2 linked regions of the Stegostoma tigrinum genome follow. Each later gene encodes a partner of the first gene's protein in a complex. Links are inferred from orthologs where the notes say so. Each region holds a gene or a part of one and is shown on either strand. Other genes may lie near its edges.

The links. The genes of interacting proteins can lie anywhere in the genome.
Region 2: zbtb8os (region 1) and fam98b share a complex: the UniProt entries of both Homo sapiens proteins name them as parts of the tRNA-splicing ligase complex. The link is inferred for Stegostoma tigrinum from reciprocal best matches to the Homo sapiens genes ZBTB8OS and FAM98B.

Annotation. Positions count from the first base shown.
Region 1 is NC_081377.1:45,047,940-45,055,079, forward strand, and holds the start of zbtb8os (protein archease), read right to left. Parts: upstream 3,035-7,140; 5' UTR 2,987-3,034; coding exon 2,905-2,986; intron 2,095-2,904; coding exon 2,070-2,094; intron 898-2,069; coding exon 776-897; intron 1-775. Other genes in the region: iqcc (IQ domain-containing protein C), read left to right, coding at 3,104-3,172, 6,581-6,667. UniProt on the Homo sapiens protein: Component of the tRNA-splicing ligase complex required to facilitate the enzymatic turnover of catalytic subunit RTCB. Together with DDX1, acts by facilitating the guanylylation of RTCB, a key intermediate step in tRNA ligation.
Region 2 is NC_081363.1:66,498,831-66,505,750, reverse strand, and holds the start of fam98b (protein FAM98B), read right to left. Parts: upstream 3,040-6,920; 5' UTR 2,780-3,039; coding exon 2,742-2,779; intron 261-2,741; coding exon 112-260; intron 1-111. UniProt on the Homo sapiens protein: Positively stimulates PRMT1-induced protein arginine dimethylated arginine methylation.

The sequences.
Region 1 (7,140 bases):
ACAAAGATTTATTTATCATATCAGCTTACTGCGTTAAGTTTTTGCATCAGAAAGTTTGCAGTGATTCAATTTATGACATTAGCTTATCTATCAGCTTAGCCCATTTGTTAGAACAGTACCCAATTATTTTAGTATTAACATTTTTAAAACAAATTTTTGTTATAATTTGCCATCAGGTAGGCAACTTGTTGCTACCCATTAATGGTAATGGAGACCAGGCATCAATTCCCATTGACTTCCTTTCTAATGAATGTACCCCACTGTTACTTTCTGTACTGATAAGCAATTGAGCAGGTACCAAGGACTCAATATGCAAGTGTGAACTGCCTCTAATTTTGTGGATTGACAGAGTCATAATGGCCATTACACTCCAGATCACCTTTCCACTTAATTGAATAGTGCTTATTAAATTAATATTTGATAAAAAATTCTCTTCTAACAAAAATTATTCTATTTTTCGAAAATTTATTTGATTGCACAGAGGATCAAGTGTACCAAGTTTAATACAGTGTTTCACATTTATCCTCTTCTCCAAACTTCATGGGTAGTAAATGTCTTGAGGCTCACACTTAAACCAAGTAAATTATGTCCTGTATCCTCATACCTTCATCTCAAAAAAATGTGAAACATGCAAAATAATCCATTTGGAACCAAAGAAATGATCTAACCGCCCTGACACTTGAGCATACTAGCCTAAAGAGGAATGTGTCACGGAAATGTTTTGTCTATTGAAAAATTATACATACAAACGTACACAGAACGTCACCATAGTTACCTTCAGCCTCTACTTCAATTGTTGTTAATGGCTGCACCGTTTCAATATCAGTCATATATCCAAACATAGCCATTACAACCTGTTCAAATGCCTCTTCTAATGTATCGCCCCATGAATGTAACCTGTAAAAAGTAGCAATTTCATGGACTTCAGCACTGGAAATTAACTGTTTCATAAATGTAACACACAGATTGCCAACTCTGTTATATTAATCACAAACTATGAAGTTAGTGGCTGTCAATTACTTTCAACTACAAATCCCAAAGGGTCAGCCAGACAGAAATCAGATCATAGAATGGTATGACAAAAGACTGCACAATAACAAAGCCTTTTTAAATTAATTTTGAAGGACAGTCACTACTGGAGATCTGGTTGATCTTTTAGGAGCTTGTGGAACAGAGGTGTATTTCTAACATTTACTGTTTGTATATCAGTTGATATAGCATACAAATAAGACGACTCAAACATTATACACAATATCTGCAAATTTTCCAATTACAATTAATAGGAACTAACTTGGGAAAAAAAGTGTATAACTGGTAATATATATTAATTTCTCCTACCGGTGTCAACAATTGCAAGGCCTGAAAATACTCCAATATTGATGTTTCTTAAAACATTTCCTTTACAGATCGTTCCAGTTTGCAAAGTTAAATTGCAATTATGGTGCATCTTGTGTTCCACAATTCAAGTAGAATATGCAGAACATCTTATATACATGTCATAAGATTAAAATCTCAGTCACAACACTAGATTGAATGTGTTCCTCATTTCAATAATCTTCCTGTAAGTAAACATAGTCCGACAAAGTTTTCAGACAGCCATTGATATTTTGGGAGAATTATAAAATTATTTTCCTGCAAAAAGTGAATACAGAATGTACAATTTGTTTAAACTTACAATAAATTTTGGAATTCCTAGCCCCATAATTTCATTACTATGATTGATAAAATTTAATTCTTTTTAAATTCAATTAAATAAAGTTTAAGTTGATGTGATGATTAAGCTTAACACTTTGAAGAAGGTAGCTTATATATACACTTTAAGAAAATAAGCTCAATAAAACCAACAGTTGATCTGGAACAAAAGCATTCAAATATTTGTTATGAGAAAGACGATACAACAAAATTCACATAGTGAGTCAATGTGGAATCCCAAAGTTGCAATAAAAGCTGGCATGAATCATAAAATTCAGATATTACAGGTTACTTCCCAAGTATCAAAGAACTGTGTATTCCAAATTGTTTTTAATAGCTAACTGTTTCCATAAAAAGTAGTTGTTTTAAGAACTTACTGTACATCTGCAGTGTGGTCCAAGTCTAAGAACAAATAAAAAATCAAAGTTACAGAAATTAAAAGCTGAAAATCATTTTTATAAACCTTGTCATTTTATAATACATGAGATTACAATGTACCGCGACTAAGATGACCCACTATATCAAAGAAAACAATGACACCGGCAGCTGTATTTGTTTAATTTACCCCACAACACTGGAAACAATTATGGATTATTTGCTCACTTCCTGCTGTCTTAATTGGTCACCGTGACTACGATTTATCTTGGTTGAGATTTTGCCCAGTGTTCTAGTGAAGATATCATACTTTACTGTCTGGTGATACACGGGAGGCTGAATGTTCTGGGTGGCGATTAGCACATTCTGCTTTTTACCTACTCAACAATTAAATGTGCGCTTTCCAGGTCAGGTGCTGGGCAGCATCGAGAAGCTAGAATAAATCACAAACCCCTTAACTTTTCCAGGTCCAGACCTAACTGCACCTTCCCATTTTTAACTCGGCTGCGAGCATCTGACAACATTTGTTTTTGATTCTTAACCAAACACAGAGAATGTTTGAGAAACTCAGCAGGTCTGGCAGCGTCTGTGAAAGAGAATTAATCAGTCAATGTGTAGAATTTTAGATCGGGGATTAGGCTTGATTCTTAACTTGAAGAGTCCAGCTAGACTCCACTCCCAACCCGATTACGTCTCAACCCTCTACACCCACAAGGCCCAGGCTCCTTCTCGCCACCATCCCTCCTCCCTCCACAGTCTGCCTGGGAACGTCCTCGGCTGGAACCTGGGGCCCGGTACTTCCGCCACAAAGGCGGCACTAGACGAAGCTGCACTCACATTCGTACTTCTTGCTGACGGGCGGATATTTCTCCTTCACCGCTTTCTGCGCCGCGGTCAGGGAATACTCCCGATCGTCCATCGACCCGCCGAGAGCCTCCTCTGCGCATGCCGACAGGACCGGGTCCCATCCCTCGCATCCCCGGATGGACTCACTGAGCGGCACCCGATTGGCTGAACAGACTGTCCGTCATCAACGATGAGGTCACCTCCTGCCCTTAGCAAGATGGCGGTGGGCGAGAAGAGCGACGGTTTGTGTCTTCTTCAGGTGAGTATAGCGTGTGACCTTTCAGCTTCAGTGGAGTCATTTGTCCCTTCAGTGAGATACACGAGGACTCTTAATGCCAGAAAGTCTGAATGCTGTCGATTGTCGAATATTGAAAACTTGTTTTATCATTGAAGCCAGGTGGTTACCATGGTAACAACTCAGTGCATTTCGAAGACTGGATTTTGTGAACCCCCTCCCTCTTTTAGGCTTGTCACAGTTCAATGTTTGAACAGAGAATGGATGTGATCTTACTGGAAAGGATGTAGAGGAGGTTCACCAGGAAGTTGCCTGGATTGGAGCCATTCTTCTCTGAAGGGGGGCTGAACAGGCTGGGGCTGTTATTCTCAGAGCATTGAAGGTTGAAGTGTGGGAACTGATTGAAATGTATGAAATCTTGAGGCGTAGAGACAGAATAAATAGGTCAAAACATTTCCCCTTTGTGGAGGGATCAATGACCAGAGGGCATAGATTTAAATTAAGAGGTAAGTGATTTGGGGGCACTTAGGAAGATTTTTGAAAAATCATAGATGAGAGGGATAGAATCATTGAAATTCACTGTTTAAAATGGTGATAGAGACAAGAGTCATCACAAAATTTAAGCATTTAAATGATTGCTTGAAGTGCTGTAACAAATAAGGCCTCAGGCCAAGTACTCCTCACAGCGCCAGGGACCTGGGTTTGATTCCAGCCTTGGGCAACTGTTTGTGTGGAGTTTGCACGTTCTCCCCGTATCTGCATGGGTTTCCTCCAGTTTCCTCCCACAGTCCAAAGATGTGCAGGTTAGGTAGATTGGCCGTGCTAAATTGTCCGTAGTGTTCAGGGAGGTGTAGATTTGGTGGGTTATAAGGGGATGGATCTAGGTGGGATGCCCTGAGGTTCGGTGTGGACTTGTTGGGCCAAAGGGCCTGCTTCCACACTGCAAGGATTCTTCTATTCTATTGTTCTACTATTCTACTGAAAAATGGGACTAGAGTAGATAGGTTTTGATGACTGGCTTGGACGAGATGAGTTGAAGGGCCTTTTTCCATGCTACAAAACTCTATATATCTGACTCACTCAATGTTGGAGTAGTTTTGCTTGCTTAATCTTTTAATATTTGATTTAATTTTATCATTGTTACATGTATTGAGAGACAGTGAAAGTATTGTTTTGCATGCGATACAGGCAAATCATATCTTACATAAGTACATCGAGATAACAGAAGTGAATGCTACAGAGAAGGTGCAGAGAAATATCAACTTTGATATATGAAATGTCCACGTAAAAATCTGCCAAAAAGCAAGAAAAAAGAAGCCGTTCTTGAATCTTTTGGTACATGTTTTCAAACTTCTATCTTCTGCTTGACGGAAGTGGGTGGAAGAAAGTATAACCAGGGTGGGATAGATTTTTGATTATGTTGGCTACCTTCCTGAGACAGTGGGAAGTACAGGCAGAGTCAATGGACAGCAGGCTAGTTCCTTGATGAACTGGGCTGCATTCACAATTCTGTAATTTTTTTGTAGTCTTGGTTAGAGCAGTTACCATGCTATGCTGTGATATATTTGGATAGGATGCATTCTTTTGGTGCATCTATAAAAATTGGTAAGAATTACAATGGACGTGCAAATTTCTTTAGCCTTCTGAGGAAGTAGGGGTGTTTATGTGCTTTCTTGACTGTAGCATCGACATGGATGGACCAGGACAGATTGATGGTTATATTCACTCCTTGGAAGTTGAAGCTCTTGACCATCCTCACCTCAGCACTACTGATACAGACAGGGTTGTATACTCCACTTTGCATCTTGAAGTCAATGACCAGCTCCTTAATTTTGCTGACATTGAGGGATAGATTGTTGTGTTTACACCATGCCACTAAGCTCTCTCTTTCTTGTTTAAGATCTGACTCACTATGATAGCGTCATTAGCAAACTTGTTAATAGATTTCAAGCAGAATTTGGCTGCGCAGCCTTGAGTGTATAAGGAGAATAGTAAGGCTCTGATTACACAGCCTTGCAGGGCACCAATGTTGAGGATTATTGTGAAGGAGGTGTTGTCGTCTGCCCTTATTGATTATAGTCAGTGAATCAGAGAGTTGAGGATCCTTTTGCAGAGGGAGGTACAGAGTCCTAAGAGTCTCAGAGTTTGAAGATGAACTTGGCTAGAAATATGATGTTGAAAGTGGAGTTGGGGTATGACTTAGGTGTCCTTGTTATCCAGATGTTCCAGTGTAGGGTCAAGGGAGATGGGAGATGCTGTGGACTGTTGCAGCAGTAAGTGAACTGTAGTATATCAAAGTAATCTGGGAGGCTGGAGTTATGTGTGCCATTTCTCACCCCTTGAAGCAATTCATAATGATGGCTATCAAAGCCACCAGTTGGTAGTCATTAAGACATGCTGCTTGATTTTTCTTTGGTGTCTGGATGATAGTGGTCTTCTTGAAGCAGATGGGAACCACAGATCATACAAAGGAGAGGTTAAAAATGTCAGCAAATACTCCCACCAGCTAGTCTGCACAGGATTTGCGTGCACAACTGGGAACTCCATCAGGCCAGTTGTTTTCACTGGGTTCCAGTGCCATGGGCACAGGTTTAAAAAGGCATAGAGCTTTGTGTAGAATGGGAACTGAAGTTGGGATTAGTTTAGAATGGTGTCATGGATGGCACAGATGTGATGGATCAAAGGCTGTGTTTGTGTGCAGTACTGTTCTATGAAGTAAATGCTGTCTTTTCCTGGAGACTGTAGAGATAATATCACTGAATTGGTAACTCAGGTCTGAGCTAATTCCCAGGGTTATAGATTCAAATTTTGTCATGACAGTTGGTGGAATATAAATTTAGTTAACAATTCTGAAATTGAAACCTAGGAGATGTTGAAATGAGCATTCGTTGACATTTTAAAACAAAAAAATCTCAGTGATGAAAATCTGCCAGCCTTATCTGTCTGGCCTACACGTGACTCCAGACCCACAGCAGTATGGTTAATTCTTAACTGTCATCTGAAATGGTCAATCAAGTTCTAGAGCAGTAAAGGATGTACATTAGATGTTGTGGTTGCCAATGAAATAATGAACAATGCACAATTAAGTCTGTTTTAATGTTCATAAACACATTTGTCCGTATGGCCCTTTGAATCTGCTCTGCTATTAAAGATGATCATTATATGATATAAAGTAGTGACTGAAGAGACTAGATATTGCCAAAACTATGAGCCCTGACAGTATTCCAGCTGAAGACCTGTGCTCTTAGCCACGTTGTTCCAGTACAGTATTGGCATCAACCTGACAGTGTGGAAGATTGCATGTGCCCAAAAAGCAAGTCAAATTAAACACAGCCACTTACAGTCTACTCTTGATCAATAGTGAGCGAAGGTAGGTGTTCTCAACAATGCTATCAAAGACATTTACTCAACAAAATCTGTTCACTGTTTCAGTTTGGAGTCTGTCCGGGCTATTCAGCTGCAGATCTCATTAAAACCATCGTTCAAACAAGGACAAAAGAGCTGAAGTACAAAGCTGAGGTGAGATTGACAACCCTTGACATAAAGACAGAATTTGACCAAGCATTGCTAAGGATACCTATGTCAGGCTTCTACCTATTGACTACAGCTCTGCCTTCAACACTATAATTTGAACCTAATCTCCAAACGCTGAGACCTAGGTCTCTGCCCTGCCCTCTGCAACTGGATCCTTGACTTCCTGACCCACAGAGGATGTCAGCGTGGATAGGCAACAGCACCTCCTTTAAGACAATCCTCAACGCTGGTCCCCTCAAGGCTGCGTACTCAGCCCCTTACTGTACTTCCTGTACACATGACCTTGGGGCCAAATTTTGTCTGAACTCCATCTATAAGTTCGCTGACCACACTACTGCTGTAGGCCAAATATCAAGCAATGACAAGATAGAATACAGGAGAGAGATAGAGTGCTTGGTGGCATGGTGTAAAGATAATCTGTCCATCGACATCAGCAAAGCTAAAGATCTGATCGTCGA
Region 2 (6,920 bases), on another chromosome or scaffold:
TATTCAGGATTGAAGAACAAACTGATCTCGTAGTAACTTTCCTTCATACAGGAGATGAGGAGGAAGTATGGTGTTTAAACAATAGAAGTTCTGATAACAGACTGCACTTACTGGTAGTAGAATTTATACATTCTTCCAAATTACACAACAGTTTAATCTGTGATGATAACCACACACAAAGTTCAGTAAATTCTGAAGAGACCGGCCCCATCTCAACTGCTTTCAAAAGAGCATCCTCTTCCAACAAGGGTCCATTGTACCTGCATCAAAAAGACACCAGTGTAATTATTATTAGAAACGGAAAATGTTATCAAAACAACAGTTGCTGGGTAAAATCTTGAAGACTTCCTCCCCACAGTATTGTGGGCATATCTACAGTACATGAACTAGACCTGTTCATGAAGACAGCACACCATCATAATGTCAAGTGTAATTAGGGATAGGCAATCAATGCTGATTTGTACTCCATGAAAGAGAGAAAAACTAATCTAAGAACCACAGTCCCAGCCCAGGGGCATCACTAGAGTCATAGATGTGTACAGCATGGAAACAGACCCTTAGGTCTAACTCATCCATGTCAATGAGATATTCTACATTAATCTAGGTCACATATGCCAGCTTTCAGCCTGTATCCCTCTAAACCCTCATTTGTATACACATCCAGATGCATTTAAAATGTTGCAATTGTACCAGTCTCTACAACTTCCTCTGGCAGCTCCTTCCATACACACACCACCCCTGTCCCCCTTAGGTCCTTTTTAAATCTTTCCCCTCACACCTCAAACCTACACCCTCCAGTTTTAAACTCTGCTACCCTGGGATAGAAGACCTTGGCTATCCACCCTATTCATATCCTTCATGATTTTATGAACTTCTATAAGCTCACTTCTCAGCCTCTAACACTCCAGGAAAAATAATCCCAGCCTAAACAGCATCTCCATAAAGCTCAAACACTCCAACCCTGGCAACATCCTTGTAAATCTTTTCCGAACCCTTTCAAGTTTCACAACAACCTGCCTGTAGCCAGATCAGAACTGAACACAGTATTCCATAAGTGGCCTAACCAATGTCCAGTGCAGCTGCAACATGATCTCCCAACATCTATATTCAATACATTTTTAAATAAAAAAGTCAAAAGAATTGCAAATGCTGTAGATCAGAAACAAAAGCAGGGAGGTTGCCGGAAAAGCTCAGCAGGTCTGGCAGCCTCTGAAGAAAAATCAGGGACAGCATTTTGGGTCTGGTTCATATCAAATGCCTTCTTTACTACTGTTTAGCTGTAATTCTGCTTTCAAGGAACTACTAACCTGCACTCCATGGTCTGTTTGTTCGGCTCCGCAAGACCCTACCATTAAGTATACAAGTCCTGCCCTGATTCGCCCTACCAACATGCAGAACTTCACATTTATCTACATTAATCTCCATCTGCCAGTCCTCAGCTCATTGGCCCATCTGATTAAAGGAACCACTGTACTCCAAGGTAATCTTCTTTGCTATCCACTGCACCACCAATTTTGGTGTCATCTACAATCTTACTAACCATACCTTATGTGTTTACATCTAAATCATTTAACAAAAAGTGTCAAAAAACAGCAGACTAGTACCTATCATTACAGCAAACCGCTAGTTACAGGCTGAGTCCAAAAAGCAACCCTCCACCACCACACTGTCTCCGATCTTTGAACCAATTTTGCAACCAAATAGCTAGTTCTCCTCGTATTCCACATAATCGAATCTTGCCACTCTAGCATGTGAAACCTTGTCAAACAATTTATTGAAGTCTACATAAATAGCATCCACCACTCTGCCTTCGTCACTCCTTCAAAAAATTCACATTAGATATGATTGCCCATGCCATGATGACTATCCCTAATCAATCCTTACTTTTCCAAATACATGTAAATCTTGTCTATCAAAATCCCCAGCAATAACTTGTCTACCACTATCAGACTCAGGAGTCTATAGTCCCCTAGCTTTTCTGCACCACCTTCTTAAATAGTAGCACCATGATCACCAACCTCCAGTTTTTCAGCACCTCACCTGTGGCGATCGATCATGCAAATGTATCAGCAAAAGGGCCCAGCAATCACTTCCCTAGCTTCCCACAAAATTCTAGGGTATCACACTGCCCTATTCCATACAGATTACCAAACAACCTGAACTTGACAGAACCCAACTGCATTTGAGGCCCTGTCCCATGTTGCTTGCCATGACATCGACCTTTGGCACACATTTTCAAGTTTTTGAGATTACATCCAATCTCTCCTCTCAGTAGCCAGTTCCCATAGTGTGAGCAACAACTTTGTGAACCCACAGTATCACCAGCACTGACAACCCCAACCCCAATAATCCCTCTGGTCCAAACGTCACCAGCAACACTCGATTCTTATGATCCCACAGTATCACTAGCACTGACAGCTCCCAACAACCCCTCCCATCCTTATGGTCCAAGTGTCACCAGCACTAACCCATGGAAAACATAGTGACCGGGTGAAGTGGGATGGGTGAGGCTGATCTGGAGTAGGGTAGGTGGGGAGTCTCCATGGATGGGGGCAGTACGAGTGAATGGCCACAGTGGGTCCCTGCGCTGGAAACCACCTCCTCCCCATTCATTCCCCACAACAACAGGCAGGGAGAACCCACCACATCACTTTGCTCCATTCTTTTAATACCAAAAAAGGTATAATAAACCCTTCCACGGCAAACCAGAAAGTAAAAGCAGCAGGTAAAAGGCGGCTTACCCCAGGGCTTCCAGCGTGTCTAGGACATCCCCCTCCATGGTCAGGGTGATGATGATAGGCTCGGGCGAAAGGGCCCACAACAAACCCGAGGCCTCAGCCTGCACACAACGGCCTCAACACAGGATCCGTTCAGGCCGCACTGAACCGATCGCAGTGAATTTACCAATCGCTCCGCTTTCAAACCTGCTCCCGCTCCTTTTGTTCCAGAAGGAAACGGCAAGAGGTGCCACCACCTTCATCGGTAATAATACAAACACCGCCTCACCCCCTCGGGACATCCGCAAGCACCGCCGCCCTGGCGGCCTGGAGGACTCCACCAACCTCCCCCCCCCACCCCCGAAATACATCTCCCCGCACGTGGACGGAACCGCCAGCATCAACAACAACTTGCTGTCCCCAAACAGTCTAGAGTTATAGAGCTATGAAGCACGGAAATAGGTCCTTGGGTTCAATTCATTGGCGCTAACCAGACGTCCCAATATGACCTAGTTCTGTTTGTCAGCATTTGGCCCGTATCCTTCTCAACCCTTCCTTTGCATACACCCATCCAGATGCCTTTTAAATGTTGTAACTATACCAGCCTCCAACACTTCATCTGGCATCTGGATCCATACAAGCATCACGCTCTGCTTGAAAAATCTTACCCCTCACAAGTTTTTTAAATCTTTTGCCTCTCAAGCCTATGCCCTCTCAGTTTGAACTCCCCTTTACGAGTAAGAAGACATTGGATATTCACCCAATCCATGCCCCTCATGATTTTATAAGCCTCTACAAAATCACTCCTCAGCCTCTGACAGTCCCAAGGATAAAAGCCCAGGCCATTCAGCCTCTCTCTATTATAGCTGAAATACTCCAATCCTGGCAACATCCTTGTAAATATTTACTGCCCCTTCTCAAGTTTAACAGCTAGACTCCAAGTTAAACATTTCTTAGAAACACATTTCAGACAAATCTTCAGGACCAAGGAGCAATGTGACTTCGTAGTAACTTTCTTTCATATAGGAATGAGTGAGGAGGAAGCATAATATTTAAATAGTGGAAATTCTGATAATAGACTGCACTTACTGGTAGTAGAATTTATATATTCTTCCAAATTACACAACAGTTTGATCTGTGATGATAAGTTCAGTAAATTCTGAAGTGGATAGCCCCATCTCAACTGCTTTCAAAAGACCATCTTTGGTCCATTGAACCTGCATCAAAGAAGACCAGAATTCTACACAGTAGACTAAAAGTGGCCTCACCAATGTCCTATACAGCTATAACATAACATCTCAACTCCTATACTCAATGTTCTGACCAATGCAGGCAAGCATGCCAAATGCCTTTTTCACCACCATGTCTACCTGCAAAACTATTTTCAAAGTGCACCTGCTCCGGCAGGTCTCTTTGTTCAGGTACACTCCCCAGGCACTACCATTAACTGTGTAAGCCCTACTCTGATTTGCCTTACCAAAATGAAACACCACATTTATCTAAATTAAACTCCATCTACCACGTCTCAGCACATTGGCCCATCAGATTAAGATCCCATTGTACTGTGAGATAATCTTCTTCACTTTCCTATTTTGATGTTATCTGCAAACTTACTAACTACATCTCCTATATTCACATCCAGATCATTTATATTAATTACGAAAAGCAGTGGACCCAGCACTAATCTGTTGTCTTGTCTCGTCTTAAGCACATTAGAAAACTCTAAGCAGAATTTTATGAATTAATTTGTCCAGGCATCCCACAATATGAAGTGGTCAAATCAAGCCAGTACCAGTACAAAACAGTCCTAACTTTATTAGGAACAAAGTTACAATAATCTTTATTAATAAACTAAACTTTAATACTATTTGGCCCCTTGAGGTTACAATACTTCCCAAGTCTCTTGTAGATTTTGGATAGAGATAACGGGAACTGCAGATTCTGGAGAATCCGAGATAACAAAGTGTAGTGCTGGATGAACACGGAGCTCCTAAGATGCTGCTAGGCCTGCTATGTTCATCCAGCCCTACACTTTGTTAGCTTTTGTAGATTTACACTGTTAGTCTGTCTCTGGCTCTGTCTCTGGGACTGTGAAGCTACTTTCTTCCTCCATCTATGGATGGTCAGCTGGCCTGCTCCTATTGCCATGCTGGTCTCCTCAGAAGGCCTCAGCTTATTCCAGCAGCAGTTTTAAGAGCAGTTCCCAGAGCAACATCTGCAGGTGAACCCTGTTTCATACCTTCTTGATATTTTTTTCTGGAACTTTCTATAGCTGTGGCCAATCATGGAGACACACAATAATTTGAAACAAGAGTCAATCATTTAGATGGCATGCTACTGTTACTTTCTTTGTGAAGTAAGATGCAATGCATTTCTGTGTGGCCTCTCCTTTGTCTAGTAGATAAGTTGTTGGGGGTATGTCTGTTCAGAATTACTGTTGCCTTTTACGTTATGCTAATGTCATGAGCACCTGGCTATAGTGTTTGCAGTGTTTCTGGTGTGTGGGGTTTGTGATTTCAAAGTTTTATTTGGCCAATGTACCCAGAATCCCTGTTTTTCCAAGTTAGCAATCTATCTGTGTTTTAGCAGCCAGGAGACTGCTACATTTCACCCCTTTAGAACTGAAAACAGCTCATGCAAATGAAGTTCAAACCTAATTGTATAAGTTGGTTATGTTTGTGGTCAGGCGAGCCTATGTAATCATGTGAAAGCAATTATGTACATTGATCAAACCTATCCTATAAATATATGTACAAAAATGATGAAAACTCCTGTCATTCATACAGTATCATAGTGCATAGACAACATTCAGCAATCAAAACAAATACAAGCGACAATATTGATAACGCTGGGAGTTCCATCCATCTTAAAGCCCCTGTGTGCATGTACAGTATTATTTATAGTGAGAGGCCGATTTCTTGGGATAGCTGTCTTTCCCAGCCTGCACTCGTAGCACTGGTATCCTGAGATATATCAAGGTGAGTGCAATTAGGTCCACAGCTAGGTATGAGAAGAGCTGAGGTCACGGTTGATAGTGCATGGGCATGAAGGTATTGTCTGTTTGTTCGAGTGGTCCCGATCAATTGTCCCAATCTCTCCACAGCATGTAGGAGGGTGTCACAGTAACCCATCCCAATACCTTTTTATGTAATTCCAATATTTTCGGCTTCAAAGGTCCTCAACTCAACCTTGTCACTAGGGATAATTGGAATCCCTAGCACCAAGCCAAGCACCTTGCCAAGAGTGTGCTTGCAGTTTTCATTATACCAAACCTCGGTGAGCTGCCATAACTGACAGCTAGAGATGTTAGCATGGGATCTCTTCTGGAACAAATTTTGAGCTGTTCATAGAGTTAAACAGCATGCATCACTGATCCAGGATGGGACTTTCCCTTGGCCAGCCTGCCTGAATAACTGTTGTCTTTTATATTATGATAATTTACATTAGACTGCCTGAGGTCCTCCCTCAGCTGTTCAATCATCCAGTATCCTTGGATGCTGTACGTGTTGCGGATTTGCTGCTCCCCATCATCCCTGATTTTACCCTGGATGGCCTGGTTAATCGTATTGCTGTGACCCTCTACTATGGTCACATAGTAGTGGCTAGCCTGAATCTCTGTATTTATCCCAATGGTCTCTGGTTGATTGTCTGTATTCAGTTCTTCTAGGGCTCGTTTGACTTGTTGCATCAAGATCCTGAGTTTATTTTCCAAATTAACCAAATCAAGGCTATTGACCATTGACACCCCTGCCCCATATGCTGTGGCTAGATCATTAAATAGTTTCCTTTACTTGCATCTATTAATTGCTAGTTGGTACCATCTACACATACAGCGATTTCTGGTGGGTCATACCACAGGCTTTCTGGGTATATATTGTTTTTCCCCCTTTATACCTACACCAAAATTTTTTATACAGCCATTACAATAACACATAATACACAATAAATACTCGTTGAATCGTTGTCTCGGAGTAGCCATTCTGGTGAACTTCCTAAAAAAAAGAGGAATTTCTGTACATATCTTGGTCTATTATCTGACACTGTGCTCTACATAATATTTTTTAATTGTCAAATTGTTCCCAATTATCACCCATTCCTGGATCCCCCTTTTTAAAAATGAAATCAAAAAGGACAACAGAATAAATGTGCCCTGTATGTGCAACTGTGTGCTTGTGGCTGGGGATCTTTAAATCTGTTTCCATT